2 linked regions of the Drosophila melanogaster genome follow. The gene in region 1 interacts genetically with each later gene. Each region holds a gene or a part of one and is shown in the gene's direction. Other genes may lie near its edges.

What was found.
Region 2: of S2P (region 1) and Drice, changing one suppresses a phenotype caused by changing the other (phenotypic suppression), as found in Drosophila melanogaster (one study listed by BioGRID).

What each region holds. Positions count from the first base shown.
Region 1 is NT_033778.4:11,840,048-11,847,679, reverse strand, and holds S2P (site-2 protease), read left to right. Parts: upstream 1-3,439; 5' UTR 3,440-3,726; coding exon 3,727-3,801; intron 3,802-3,852; coding exon 3,853-4,290; intron 4,291-4,357; coding exon 4,358-5,371; 3' UTR 5,372-5,577; downstream 5,578-7,632. Other genes in the region: Sln (silnoon), read right to left, coding at 1,570-1,602; CG43190 (uncharacterized protein), read right to left, coding at 2,764-2,955, 3,014-3,166; CG34229 (uncharacterized protein), read right to left, coding at 5,601-5,834, 5,918-5,956.
Region 2 is NT_033777.3:29,795,652-29,803,169, forward strand, and holds Drice (death related ICE-like caspase), read left to right. Parts: upstream 1-4,006; 5' UTR 4,007-4,246; coding exon 4,247-5,266; 3' UTR 5,267-5,933; downstream 5,934-7,518. Other genes in the region: sro (shroud), read left to right, coding at 1-47; Rnb (R and B), read right to left, coding at 191-1,099, 1,158-1,233, 1,295-1,842, 1,919-2,125, 2,191-2,529, 2,587-3,180, 3,258-3,350, 3,457-3,618; Etfb (electron transfer flavoprotein beta subunit), read right to left, coding at 6,298-7,008, 7,139-7,189.

The sequences.
Region 1 (7,632 bases):
TTCTTGGTACTTCCAATGACGTACGTATACGAAATATGATACATTGCTGGCATCAAATATCAAGTATGCGACGTGTGTGCCCATTAGAAAGAAGGATTGGTGCCCAACGCTGGTTAAACCTATGCACAATATATTAGGTGAAGCGCTCTATCCTTAGTCAACCTTTTTATTTGCTTTTACTTAAGTATCCTATCTAAGCATGTCAGTTCTTAATGAGCAAATAATCAATAATTATTATAACGAATAAATATTGCATGGTAAATGTAACAAATCATAACATCACTTATGCTTAATAAAGCCAAGTAAATTTATATAATTGAATTCTAACTTTGAAAGTAAATTTAATAAATTTGTCTTTTGTTTACGTGGCATGTCATTTGTCGAACTTCGTGCCGCTTATGAACTGTCAGCCATATTGATGGTAGAAATATGCCAAATAGATGGCATGCAATATTCTTGAACGAGTGCAAAATGCAGTCACACATCTGACACGACTAATGAGCGTTGGCCAACTCTTGGCATTTGGCAACTCCCCCTCAAGAGCATGAGTCACAGCATCCTAGAGCCAGTGACCTTGTCGAATGTCAAAGGCCCACGTCGCCGTGGCATGCGATGGTATACGATATCCTGGACGCCAAGAACCCCCAAGACCACCCTCTGCTGTCAGCTGGAATCCGGCTTAAGCTGTCAGGAAGCTTTCGCTGGGGCAGCTCTGCAATCGCTGGTTGTTTTCAATTTCCCAACATTTCAAGGCCTTTGCCAGCGCTTAATGAAACGGAAGAACCTTCCCCCGGGCCAAGTTAGTTGGCGCTCGTGTGTGGGCCTGAACGATAAGCGGTCAAGGTGAAAGGGGTGGCCTCAAGTCGGCTGGTCGAGGGTGGTATCTAGTCGGGGAGGGAATCTAGTGGGGAGGACTTGACGCACAACTTGTTGAGCCACCCGTAATTGCTAGCCCTCCGTAATAATAGATATTAGGTTGCACAGGCCTAGGCCAATTAGTTCACCCAATCAGCAGGACATTGATGCTTAAGTGTAGGGATGCTGTACTCCCATATGCGAGTGTAAACACCTACTTAAATTTGGCTCAAAATTCATGTTTTAAGTGTTTACAAAATCAACGATTGTAAGTGTAAGTATAATTATAAGCATAATAAAAAGTTACTTTTCATTTGTGTCAAAACTAGTAGAAATGAACACTTCTATTCGATTTAATAGGTGTCATTAAAGGTCAACACCATGCCACGACTGAACTTTGGCTTGTGGTTTTCGGTCTTTCCATCAGCAGTCGGGGCATGTATTGTTTACTTTCTTGTCCCCGTTCTTCTAAAGCGACTAAGATGGATGCAACTTGTGACGTTGACCCATTCTCCTGTCGCTTGCAATGTTTACGTACTCGTAAAACACTCTCTGGTCCAGTGCGCATGCTCACCAGAGGAACCCAAACTCCAGCTACCTCAATACGATTGCCATTGGCCCACTCCCCAGAAAAGGCAGCGAGGAGGAATCAAGGGGGATGGTTCCTGACCTTCCCAAAGTAAGGATAATGGGATGCTGGGTAGTACTACTCACCTGTAAATGCCAGTCACGCTGTAGGGACGACATTGCCGTCCTTTACTGAACGTGAAACGCCTTTGATGTTTCTCTTGTTGCTCGCGCTGTTGTTGTTGTTGCTTGGGGCGTTGTTGTTGTGCACCCAAATGCATTGGGTTGCCTCTGCTTTGGGTCCTTAAAGTCCTGAAGAGCTGACGTTCGCGGGCCTTCACCGGTTGGCCCAAAATAAATACTCTCTTGCTACTGCTGCTTCTGCCGGAACGGCTCCTTTGGCACTGAATCCTTTGCGGGTTCGTCTTGATGGTTTGTTCTCCGAATCGATTGCGATTTTCGTTCGCTTTTTCTTGAGGGCTTCCTTGAGGAACTTGTATGGGTTTTCCTAGGGGCAATATCCTTGCTGCTCTGGCGTCATGATGCGTTGATGTGACACACAGTATTCCCTGTTACTATTGTTTATGCAGCAGCTGTTTCCGCTTCCGCTTCCTTGTCGCCCCCTTCCGTATCCGTTTTCGGCACAAGCGCACTCTCTCACTCACTCGCTGGCGAATATGCAGTTTTTGGAACAAATCGATATGGGGCGAGATTCCAGCTGAAGTCCTTTGTTCTTAGCTTACTCAATCACAATCGAACGAATTGGATCCTTCCAGTGAGTTAAATTGGTTAAAAATACGCCTGAAGCTATTGAACACTTTCTCTGATTGGGAAAACCCTTTGCAAAAGCCTTTTTATTTTTCGTGAGTACTCTTCGTTTGTTGCCCTTTTTGGCGGATGCGACTGTTCTGCTGCTGCTCAAGCTCACGACTAAACTGATGATACTCATGTCCTCTGGAGGTCCATTGAAAACCCAACTCAGTTAAGGTGAACTTGGTGGTGGTGAGTTTCGGCATGGAAAAAGGAAAAACAAGAGTAAGAGGTCCTCTCTTCCTTTCCATTGGTTTTCATCCGTTTTGTTTTGCTAGGTTCTTTTGGCCGCCTGTTGCCAGAACCACCTACTTTTATTTCTGAAAACAGCTGATGAATGAATTACGAATTGCCTTACGAATTAAAGTCACACAAATTTAACAAATGTAACTTTACAATTTCTCATGCTAGATTTTCATATACCTATAATTTTTCAATTTTAATCAAAGTAGGTGTATTCGTTGCTCTTGATTACTGCACGGCAAATTTATAATATAAATCCAAAACTAAACGAGAACACTTTGCATTGCTCTATAGAGAAGTGCGTAGTTCTTCCAGGCTTTTGGTCATGTTCAACGCCACTCCAAGAAATATAAAGCTGATGGCCACAGATGAGAAAACGGCAGCCGGTAGGTTCTTGAGTAGCCACTGCAGGATCATCGTGTAGACGGCAATGGCCATGAGCAGCATGCACATGTATGGATAGGCCAGCCATTTAATGAACTGCAAAATCACAGGATTCTTAAGAATATTTCCTCAATTAATTTTGCTTCAGGTTAACCTTCCAAACTGCAATAATCAACAGGAGCGAGGATAATGCATAGAGAGCCGATCCGGTGGTCCACACAATCTTTACCGCTTCAGAGACACCTGATAAACTGGTCATGAAAAGATAGCCGGCAGCCACGCCCGATATACAGGATACGCAGGCCATAATGGAGACGATCAGCCTGCAAGTCGGCAAAAGTCTCTTATATGAGAATTCCTGTTCGCTCATGTGTTTGATGTATTTTAAGTCACTTAACACAATGGATTTTGAATTTTTTTATATTGAAAGCAAATCATTTTCATAAAAAAATTTTAATTGTTGTTTTTGAGTTGTTCAACAGTTTTCTTTGTTTGACGTTGAATAGTTGAAAATGTTCAAAACTTTCGCGCCCAAATAAGCTTGCTTATCGGTATTATTGATAAAGCGGCCATCGATAAGTTCTGCAATCGATTGCGATTAGCTTTTGGTATTTCGATTTTTTACGCAGGTTAATTTGCGCACAAGATTCCCAGACGTGATTAATGCTGATTTCTGGTCTGGACTACACAGCATTGCTGGTATAAGGAGTCGGGACCAGAGGAGTAAGATTTCGGGAAGGAATCCCGTCCGGTAGGGACTACTAGCATTCGCAAGTGACGTCCAGCAACCGGAGGACCCCCAACTGTAGAATCCGCATCACCATCCTAATCCCAACAAACCAATGACATCTTGAGACCTCACCAGCCATGGATCCCTTCGTGTTCTTCATAGTACTGGCATCGCTTTATGGCGTTCTTTACTTTTTCGACCGCTTCTTCAAGGTGTAGTATATCCAGCCAAAGTACGTCCAGATACTTAATGTAATCCCTTAGAGTTGCATGCACTACCCGTACGATGCCTTCCTCAAGAACACCGGGCTGAGTATAAATTTCATGAGCCTCCACTGGCACACGAGTGCCTTTAACAGGACCCTCCTACGCTGGGGATCTGCCGGTAACAGCTGCACCCGGAGAGTAATGATCACCAGCTTTAATGTAGGAGTCCTGGTCACCTTTTCTCTGCTCCCGATCGGTCTGATCCTGCTCATTGCCACTATCTTCAGCAGTGGTGAACAAGACAGCTCTTCGTCTGTATCCTCGCCCGTTGGAGTCCCTGTGCAGCTGGAAATTCTACTGCCCGGCGTCAACTTGCCGTTGGAGGAGATCGGATACTACATCACAACCCTTGTGCTCTGCTTGGTGGTGCACGAGATGGGACACGCCCTGGCCGCTGTGATGGAGGATGTGCCTGTCACCGGGTTTGGAATAAAGGTTAGAATGATATAGCGTACTTTACAACCTAATACGCTTACTAATTAGGTAAATATTAATATTTCAGTTCATCTTCTGCCTGCCGTTAGCATACACGGAGCTCTCCCACGACCACTTAAACAGTCTACGTTGGTTCCGCAAGCTACGTGTTCTGTGCGCTGGAATCTGGCATAATTTTGTGTTCGCTGGCGTGTGCTATCTCTTAATCTCAACGGTGGGAATCACTATGTCACCTTTGTACGCTTACAACCAACACGTAGTGGTCACTGAACTAACAAGGAAATCCCCGCTGAGGGGAGAGCGCGGCTTGCAAGTGGACAATCAAATAACCCAAGTAAACGGCTGCCCAGTAAACAGCGAGGAGAGTTGGGTGACATGCCTGCAGAACTCTCTGAAGCTCAAGCCGGGCTACTGTGTGAGTGCGGACTTCGTGCAGCTTAACGACGAAAGCAGCGCCATCTCACATCATAGCATTGATGGTCAGCTACAGTGCTGTGATGAACTAAATCCGAACGTAAGCTGCTTCGAGGTGGTGGAGGACGCAAATGGAGATGTGCCGGTGGAGCTGCCGCAGCATGTATGTCTCAATGTGCGCCGCACTTTGGAGGAGGTCTCCGAGCACTGCTCGTCCGGAGTTTGCAACGAGGGATTCTGCCTACGACCGCTTATACGAAATATCACTGCCATAATGACGTTCAAGCGACAGAATTTTCGCGGAGAGAAGCTGCCGCCGGTGATCTATGTGGGCCATCCATGGGATGTCACTCGAACTGTGGAGGTATCCGCCTTTGTGCCGAGATATAGCTTATTAAAGGCAGCCTGGCCGGATGCCTGGCTGCTGCTCCTCAAGTATAACGTGGTCTTCAGCATAGGATTGGCGTTGATCAATGCCATTCCCTGCTTTGGTTTCGATGGCGCCCACATTACCAGCACCGTGATACACAGCTTCTTGGTGGGCAGAGTGGATCAGCATGCCAAGAGAGATATCATCTCGTTGATAATCACCAGCGTGGGTTCCCTTCTCTTTGCACTGGCCCTGCTTAAGGTGGCCTGGTTGAGTTTTCTGCGACCCCTGCTTTAAGAACTGAAATGGAAAACTGAAATGGATCCTGGGAGTTCAACTCCCTGCAAAGACGCTAGACTGCTATTTCACCTTCACGAAACACACAAAAACACAGCGAATTGTAGCACCTCAAAGATTCGATAGCTTTTTGTCATAGTCCTTAGTCTTAACTCGTATTTATTTTCGTACGGTTGTCGAGCTCAAAAATAAAATCAAATTAAGCTAAGATTTATGTTCAAGACTGATCCTATTTGCCCTCGCTCACCCCGCTCAGTTGGAGGCTGGTCCTTAGTTCTGTGAGGCTGCGTCTGCCGTGCTGAAGGAGCATCTTGATGGCCACCTCGTCACTTTGATGGCGATTCGTCTGGAAGTCATGCCGTGCCCAGGATTTTAGCTCCAGCTGGCTGTTTTTGTCGGGAACCTGACGAATCGTTCGAAATATTTCCCGGTAGAGCTTCAGTACTTCCTGGCGCAGCATAAACTACAATGTAATCAATTCATTCAATTATTGTTAGTTTTATTAATATATTTGGAAAACCATAAAAATGATTTAAACCTGCTTACCTGCTTCAAACTAAGTGATGCTTTTGGTAACTTGGACATTTCTGCTTAATTGTTTTTTTTTCTTTATATTTTCTAGTTGAATTATTATTATTAGTTATTCTTTTAGTTTTCAAGTTATTCTGTCATTTTAAAAATTATTTGTAATTAGTCAAGAAAAATCATAACAAAAACAGCTGATGATAGTCAGATGTTAGAATTATAGAGAAGGACCGATTATTATTAAGCTTATACTGAACAATCGATATATTGATAGGCTTATACAAATGCGCTAAAATTTAAAATTCGAAAATTTAATAAAAATAAATAATAATTTATATACGTATAATCGAAGACTTTTTTATAGTGTCTGAACTTAATTTGTATATTCTTAAAAATAACTTTACCTTTCATTATTATAGTTTACTAACTTTCAATTAGTTTAATTGGTTTTCCTACATGAAATTAATGTTGTTTGTAGTACAATTCACCTGTTATTAAAGTGATCAATTATTATAGGGCAAAGGAAAACAATTTGTAGCGAAAGCCAACAGCAATTTATGTTAAAATCTCATTTCATCAACCGCCACTAATGAGTCAGTCGCAGAAATAAACTAAATTGTTGTAATGTCCTAACAAACTTATGTTTTTGCGCATTGATGCGGCGTGGGAACGAACGAAGTGACATCCAACACTAAATTTATCTGGCTCGTGTTCAAATCAAATTAAATTCTCGGCATTAAATGCCACATTTATCTACATGAGCACATTGTTTGATTGGCACGCCAGCTGCTCTGCCCCTGTTTCTTCTCTGATTGTGATGTTCTACTTAAACGATTCAATTGTTTCTTCGACCATTCCGTTTATTTACCATCAGGTACCAGACTCGCCAAGGGATTGGTACTATCTCCTGATAGTTGGTACTTGGCGTCGGCTAGTGGTAAGTTCTCCCCCAAGTACCGGGTTTCTTGATAGAATTGCCAACTGTTTTCCAAGCCAAGTGCCATGGTCACGTCTAGTGACCAATAACTCTGCTGGCCAGCAGTTGGGCCCTATGGAGAATGTGAATCAACCAGGTTAGATATTATATCTAATATATATTTCAGTGTTATTAGAAGTAGAGTCAAACCGTCTGTTTTTACGCGGAGAATATTTATATAAAAAAAACCATAAAAACTTAAAAAGATATTGTAAGTTAGAAATATTTTTAAAGTATCTTTAAGTTTACAATATATCTTAAAGTTTAAAGTTTACACTTTAAATTAGGTGGAAATATCCTACAAATTATACTTTACGTATTTCATATACTTTGAAATTTATTTAAGTTTAATTTTGGCATAGAATTTAGCCAATCGGATGATCAATATCGATTTAATTTATCCTCGGCACGCCATTTTCGACCTTTCTGGCTGTCAAAATGCATTTTCTCCTCGCGTTACTTAAGATGCTCCCCATTAATTTCCCACAGCCGTTTCTCTGATCTCTGACCAAGTGCGTTTGTCTCCGCCGGCGCACAAGTATTTTGTGCAAATTAAACAAAAATTGAACATAACATAAATATCCGATGCAGAACAAAACGAAGGCAGGTGAAGCGGTGAGATTTATTTTTAACTGCCCAATGCGCCTACATATAGCAAATTATGCAAAAGAATCTCGCGCTGCAGCCGAGTGCAATTTCGTTTTCGTTTTCATCTGCCAGAGATGCCAGCGTCTGCGCCGCTCTCTTGAGTCATTGCACT
Region 2 (7,518 bases), on another chromosome or scaffold:
GCGCGATGCCCACCTACGAGTCAACGAACAGGCAGGAGAAGATTTAGATTAATCCGTAGTCTATACATTTTAAATATACATTGTAGCACATTGGAATACTTGGCTAAGGGCTGTGGCAAATAAAACGAGCTGAATCCAGGGAATGGAAAACGCCAAAATGTGATCACAGAACGCAACTGGGTGGTGGTGTCTAGAAGACATAGCCGCGACAGCGCTCGAACACCGCATCGTTGAGCAGCTGGAACCACTCGCTGGCATAGGTGGAGTCCTCCGCTGCCCGGAACAGCTGAAGCTTTTCCTGCGCGGGCAGCGCGGAGCAGAGATAAAAGCTGATGGCAGTTTCCGTCAGGTCGGCATGGTAGTTCTTCAGCGCCCACTCGAGCAGGCGCAGGCAGTTGTGTGAGTCCAGGTACTGGATGAGTCTTTGCTGCAATACCGCCTCCATATCGGGCATGATGTACACGCGGGCCATCTCGTAGGCCTGCAGCAGGGCGGGGTAATCCGGCTCGGTTAGATGCCGCTCCTGGCACACGATTAAATGCAGAAAGTAGCGCAGTCCACTGGCAGTGTAATCTGGCAGCTGAATCTCGCCTTGGTGACCCTCGCGGAAATCACTGTTGAGCATCTTGTTGAACACTTCGCTGGTGTCGCAGAGCAGCTGCTTATTAAACCCAATGGAGGTGGAATCCGCTCCATGACCAACGAGGAATCGCATGTCGCAGTTGGCGTGCAGCGGTGCGGTATCATTTGCAATTTGGTTGCAGATTCCTGCTGTACTCTCCGCTGGTTCGGCTTCTGGCATAACGATGCCCAGGGTATATCGCGCCATCGATGTCACCGCATCCGCCGCCTCATCTGCGTAGTGGTCCTCGGTCTTCTTGCGCAGCATCATGTCGAATAGCATATTCAGCGCATTGCCGTCGTACAGGAACTGATAGAGCAATCGATGGCTTTTAACTATGTAGGCCACCGAAATGGCGGCTCTCTGTTGGGATATCACATCGTCGCAGCGCAGGAGACGCACTAGCTCCTCCTTGCCATAATTCGATTCTCCCACATTGGTTAACGTCTCCAAGAAGGCGAAGCCGTCTTTGCGAATCTGAAATATACGTGCGGTGTTAACTGTGATGAACATTAGATGAATGGGCTCACTTTACCTCCTTCAGCTTGGTAAACTGGTACAGTTGATGGACCACGCCATGCTTTATTATCTGGGCAAAGAACTGGCTCTCACTGAAAGGATATACGTGCAATTAGAATACATGCTTATCCTTAGTTCAGCTTGACAACTTACAGTAGAATATTTGTCAGGGCATTTGGGAAATTATTGTTCGATCCAAACAATTTGATGGCTCTAATCAGAGTGTCGAGCGTCTCTGGCTTTCCCAGCTCCACTCGCTTGTTCACCATCAGCGTGATGCGATAGATAAGGTTTTCTATTATGTCAATGGTGTTGCATGTTGTATTGCGGAACGGGGCTAGTTTCGGTGGTACATCCGAGCTCAGTTCCTCGAGATCCTCTTTGTCGGACAGCGGATCATCTATGGGTTCGCTGCCCTCCTCAATTAGTTTCAGTATATCCAGAACATTCGAAGGCTGCGAACGATTGGCGGCTATGCGCCGCTCTCTTGTGTCCAAATTGCTATTATTTGTGCTGTCATCCTCATCTTCGTCGTCATCACTGCACGCCGGAGAATAGTTGTCGTCGTCATCATTCGTCAGCAGATCTGTGCACACCGGTGACATGCTGCGCGAACTGCAGGGACTGGTTGTGCGATAAGACCTAGGTGAACTGCTCGGCGATTCAAAGTCCGATCCTAAGGTCTCGTGGGTTTTTGAGAACTTGTGTGCAAAAAGTGGGTATAATTAGCAAGTGGCTTGTAAACATATGCTAGCTGCTATGCTGCTAAATAAATACCTTGCTCAGCGTCTCTGGCGTTGTGGGATCCGTCAGTTTTCTTTTTTTACCACCTTGCAGTCTCTCGTCTCGTCGACGTTTGTGATGCTCATCATCGCTGGTCAGGTAATCGTTTAGTTCCCGCACCAACATGGGCATTAGTCCTTCATACAGCATGAGTTCCATGCTTAAGTTATCATATTGGAAGTTGTAAAGTATGTGAAATAGCTGTTGGGTATGAAGAAAGCCATTATATATAGCAGATGTCAAGAGGGATTTGGTTTCCATCTCACCGATGATCGCTCGCTCTGCGAGTTGGAGTCCCGGATCATGGCCACCAGCTTGCGCAGTGCCCCACATCTCCGGATCTTCGAGCGGCTGCAGGCATCGGTGGATAGCGTCAAGATTATGTTGATGCAGTGCCGGCTCTCGCTTTCGCTAAGTGGCTTTGCCATGTTCACAGCCATGAGCATCTCGCAGGCAGCCACAATGGCATCCGCAGTGCTCAGCATGTAGAAGGCGAAGGGATCCTTGCAGAAGTTAGAGAGGATTTTAAGGGCAGAGGCCCGTTGGTCGCCGTCCTCCTTTACGAAGCACACAATGGAGGCGAGCGAGGTATTCCAGGAAATGGACTAACAAGAAATGTTTATTATGTACTACGTTTTGGAGAACTTAGAAAACAGTCTCACCTCCCAAACTTTCAGTCCAATTTGCTGCGCGGATATCAGGACCAGACACTTCAGAATCTCGAGGGCCAGCTCAACGGCCGCTTCATTTTCCTTGGGCAGCGCATAGTCACAGTTCCTTGTGGAATTCTTGAGCATCTGGTGGTCAAAGATGTCACTGCGAACACCCTCCAAATTCCGGGCTACCTCCTCGAAATACTTCTCACGGTGCTGGTTCCTCTTCAGGCCAATCAGCGTGGACATCTCGATGTCCGGAACGGGCTCCTTGGATGCCTCTTCGTTCTTCATCACGGCCAGAAAAATTCGCATCAGCTGCTGGAACCCATTGGCCATGAGGAAGTACTTCAGGAACTGGCTGCTGGCCAGAAGGAAACGGCAGACGCGGAATGCCATGATGCGGGTCTGCACCGCACTGGTGGACTCAATGATGTGGCAGATGGCCGGTGCAATGGCCGCATAGTGCACTGTGAGACACTGGGACGCCTTCTTGCTCTTGGCGATGTTTCCAAGCATCCGGCAGGCGCGGCACTGGATCAGGGGATTAGGTATGGTCTTCAGAATGGTCACCAGCGGGTGAATCACCTTGCATTCAACAGCCTTAAAGTGGAAAGTTTTAAATTTTTTTAACCGTTGTGGTTCAAAATAAAGATAAAAATGTAATCTGATAATCCCACCTCAATGCAGGACTGTTCGTCGGTGCAGCAGTTCCCCAGTATGCTCAGTACCACCTCCATTATCTTTTCATTCAGCTTGGTGATCAGTCGCACCTGGAAGACGCAATTAATAATGATTTAAAAATCGATTCGAATAACGATCCTATGTGAGCGGCAGTGGCTGTCAAACCACCATGAGCGTTGTGACTCCCAAACCCACCATGATGTGAACGCCCCCAGCAGTGCGAAATAAAACAATGCCATTTTTATCCTTCACCAGATCGGTGCGCAGCTTCACCAGGCATTTGTAAATGACTGTTCGATCCGTGGAGGTCTTTAGCACTTCCAGCATGCTCTCCACTTGCTCTGGTGTCCAGAACATTGGTAATTTTCTTAATTTTTAAACAAATTGAAACAATTCAACAAATTCTACAGTGCGTCTCAAACCTCTTTGAGAGTGTGACCGTGCATAAGAGCGTATTTTACGGTATTTTACGTTATTTTTCGAAAATCCAGCAGCGGTCTGCCTTATTTATAAACTGATGTTTACGTTTTAGCTTTGGATGCGAATTCGATTCTACAATAATAAATGGAAGCAGGCCTGTTTTTTATGTAGATTATACAAGTTCCCACAAAATTACCTCCAAGCTTTTAATTTCAAATTATTTTAATATTTTTTAAAACCCATTTAATAATTTTTCCTATATTTATTTACTTTCTTTGTTTACCGTAATCGTGACACGAGGGCTGAAGTGTCATCACCAAATCAGGCGCTATTTGGTGTTTTTCAACTGCCAACAACGGTCTTACAGAATTAAAGACAAAAACGCAATCGACTAAAGTAATTAGTTAATAACTAGCTGTCTTTGTTGCGCGTAAACACGGACTTTCCCCAGAACGAAGCTAATTTGCCCAAGTCGTGCATCCAAGCTTTTCACAGATTTGGAAAAACCTGTTTCGCAGTGCTTGTGACTCATCAGTTTTCGCAGGCTCAAGGAGAGAACTTAGCCATGGACGCCACTAACAATGGAGAATCCGCCGACCAGGTGGGCATCAGGGTGGGCAATCCGGAGCAGCCCAACGATCACACAGATGCCCTGGGCTCCGTGGGATCCGGAGGAGCGGGTAGCAGCGGCCTGGTCGCAGGATCCTCGCATCCTTACGGCAGCGGAGCCATTGGGCAGCTGGCCAACGGGTACAGCTCACCCTCGTCCAGCTACCGTAAGAATGTAGCCAAAATGGTCACCGACCGCCATGCAGCCGAGTACAACATGCGCCACAAGAACCGCGGAATGGCACTGATCTTCAACCATGAGCACTTCGAGGTGCCCACCTTGAAGTCTCGCGCGGGAACCAATGTGGACTGCGAGAATCTGACTCGGGTGCTCAAGCAGCTGGACTTCGAAGTGACCGTGTACAAGGACTGCCGCTACAAGGACATTTTGAGGACAATCGAGTATGCAGCGTCGCAGAATCACAGCGATAGTGATTGCATCCTGGTCGCCATCCTGTCGCACGGCGAGATGGGCTACATCTACGCCAAGGACACACAGTACAAGCTGGATAACATCTGGAGCTTCTTCACGGCCAATCACTGCCCCTCGCTAGCCGGCAAACCCAAGTTGTTCTTCATACAGGCCTGCCAGGGCGACAGATTGGATGGCGGAGTGACCATGCAGCGTTCTCAGACGGAAACCGATGGCGACTCCTCGATGAGCTACAAGATTCCAGTGCACGCCGACTTTCTGATCGCCTACTCGACGGTTCCTGGATTCTATTCGTGGCGCAACACCACCCGCGGCAGCTGGTTCATGCAGAGCCTGTGCGCCGAACTGGCGGCCAATGGCAAGCGGCTGGACATCCTGACCCTGCTCACATTCGTGTGCCAGCGGGTGGCCGTGGACTTTGAGTCCTGCACCCCGGACACTCCGGAGATGCACCAGCAGAAGCAGATACCCTGCATAACCACCATGCTGACGCGCATTCTGCGTTTCAGCGACAAGCAGTTGGCACCAGCCGGACGGGTTTGATGGCTAATGGTATGGATCAAACGGTGGGTACGGCGAGGTGTGTGATAAACCAAGTCGCAATTAAGTTAGAACCTCATGGGCTATCGGCCTTGCAGCATATTTTTTATACAACACTTTTTTAACCTGCCCAATTGCTCGACGAGATTGGTGCCACTGCCCGTTTTATTTTATTTAGGCACAAAGTATCTTTCGATTGACATTTATTAATGTCGCATTTACTCGTCTGTATTTATATTTTTTGGGGTGGGTAGAGTAGATCGATTTAACTTAGAAATCTAAGAGGTTTTTACTCCGGCCAAAATTTTTTGACAATTTTAACTTGCCAACTGAACAAAGACGATCTCAAAATTTTAAATTCTCTACTAAACCTTATCATAGAACAACTTGCGCCTCTTTGATTCTCGATCAGGAATGTCGGCCCACCCTTATCTATATCTACCTTAGACCATTTACAGACAAGACCTTTTTACAATTTTATACACATAGATATCTTTATAGTATAAGCCTGTGTGTCATGGTCGTCCAAAACGAAAACAAACGATTTTAGCCTGTAGTCGAGTGTTTTATGAACAATATATACTATTTCTATGCCATTTGTACTCTTATATAATGCACATTAGCAAATGTTCTCCTTTCAAGTTAACCGCTAATAAATCCGATTGAAAACAATGAGAAATCAATGACCATTGGCTGTTTGCTGTTGACCCTGTCGCCTCTTTTGGGCGCCAAGTTGAGCGGCATTTCCCGAAAAGGTAGCACGCGGAGACGGAAAAATAGACGAGTCCAGCCATTGGCTGACCCTGATCGTACGATTTCAGAGCTTACAATCACTTTATTCTTAGAGCTGGACACAACGAGAATAAATTCCAATTTATAGTTCACTTAAAGCACACGGGTATGGGTTGAATTCAGAGAAATTTAAAGCCTGTCAGCAAATCCGACTCTCCGGCTAGATAAATGCACGTTTCTGATAACTTTCGACTAATTAAAAACGTAGAATATGCGCTCACAATTTTCTAGTTGAGGAACATCTAGATGTGGCCGCCCTCCTTTAGCTTGGCCACCAGGGCATCCACGTCGGCGACGGTGGCGCCGGCCTGGCGCACAGGAGGATCCTCCACGGAGATGACCTCGATGCGGGGCGAGGTGTCCACGCCGAGATCCTTGGCCGTAACCTTCTTCAGCGGCTTCTTCTTGGCCTTCATGATGTTCGGCAACGTGGCGTAGCGAGGGGTGTTCAGCCGGAGATCGGCGCTCAGCACAGCCGGGGTCTTGGTCTTGATTGTCTCCAGGCCACCATCAATTTCACGCGTGATGGTCAGACCGGCGTCTGTCTTCTCGATCTTGTTGCAGAAGGTGCCCTGCGGCCAGTCGAGCACGGCGGCGGTCATCTGGGCCGTTTGGTTGGCATCATCGTCGATGGCCTGCTTGCCAAGGATGACCAGGTCGGCTTTTTCGTCAAGAGCCAACTTGGCCAGAATCTTCGACACGTGGATGGGCTGCAGAAGCTCGTACTCGGCGGCCGGGATCTCTACGTGGACGCCGCGATCGGCGCCCATGGCCAGGGCGGTGCGGATCACCTCCTGCGACTGGGCCGGGCCCACGGAGACGGCGATCACCTCCTCGGCCAGCTTTTTCTCCTTCAGCTTCACCGCCTCCTCCACGGCGATCTCGTCGAAGGGATTCATCGAGTGCTTCACGCCCTGGGTGACCACGCCAGTCTTGTCGGGCTTGACGCGCACCTGGACATGATAAATGTAACCTGAATTAGTTTAATTGCCGCTTAATTAAGGCGATTACGCAAAACAGAGCGCAACAAGTGATAAAAAGACAATGGGACAAGATGCGCAACAGGCGACTTTTCAGGCTCACCTTGACGGCGTAGTCGATCACACGCTTAACTCCAACCAAAACACGCGCCATTTTCTGCCAAATTAGTTATAAAATTGATGAAATTTACGGAAATTTACTGAGTTTCAAGAACTTACCTCTTCAAGATGGAAATGAACTGATTTGTTGGCGGCGGGGGCGCGGGTGGTCCAAAGGTCTTCTCCGGCTACAGCGTTGCCAGACAGAGCAGCCGATTATTTGCAGCTATAAAATGTCCAAATATTCCCGCTGAAATACATTTTTAAATTCATGTATCTTAAAGGACTAACAACTTTAAGCAAAACTAGGAAACATAATTTCTGAAACTGTGGAGTTGATGAATTACGAATTCAACTATTTACGGGGGAGTAGCTAAACTTTGT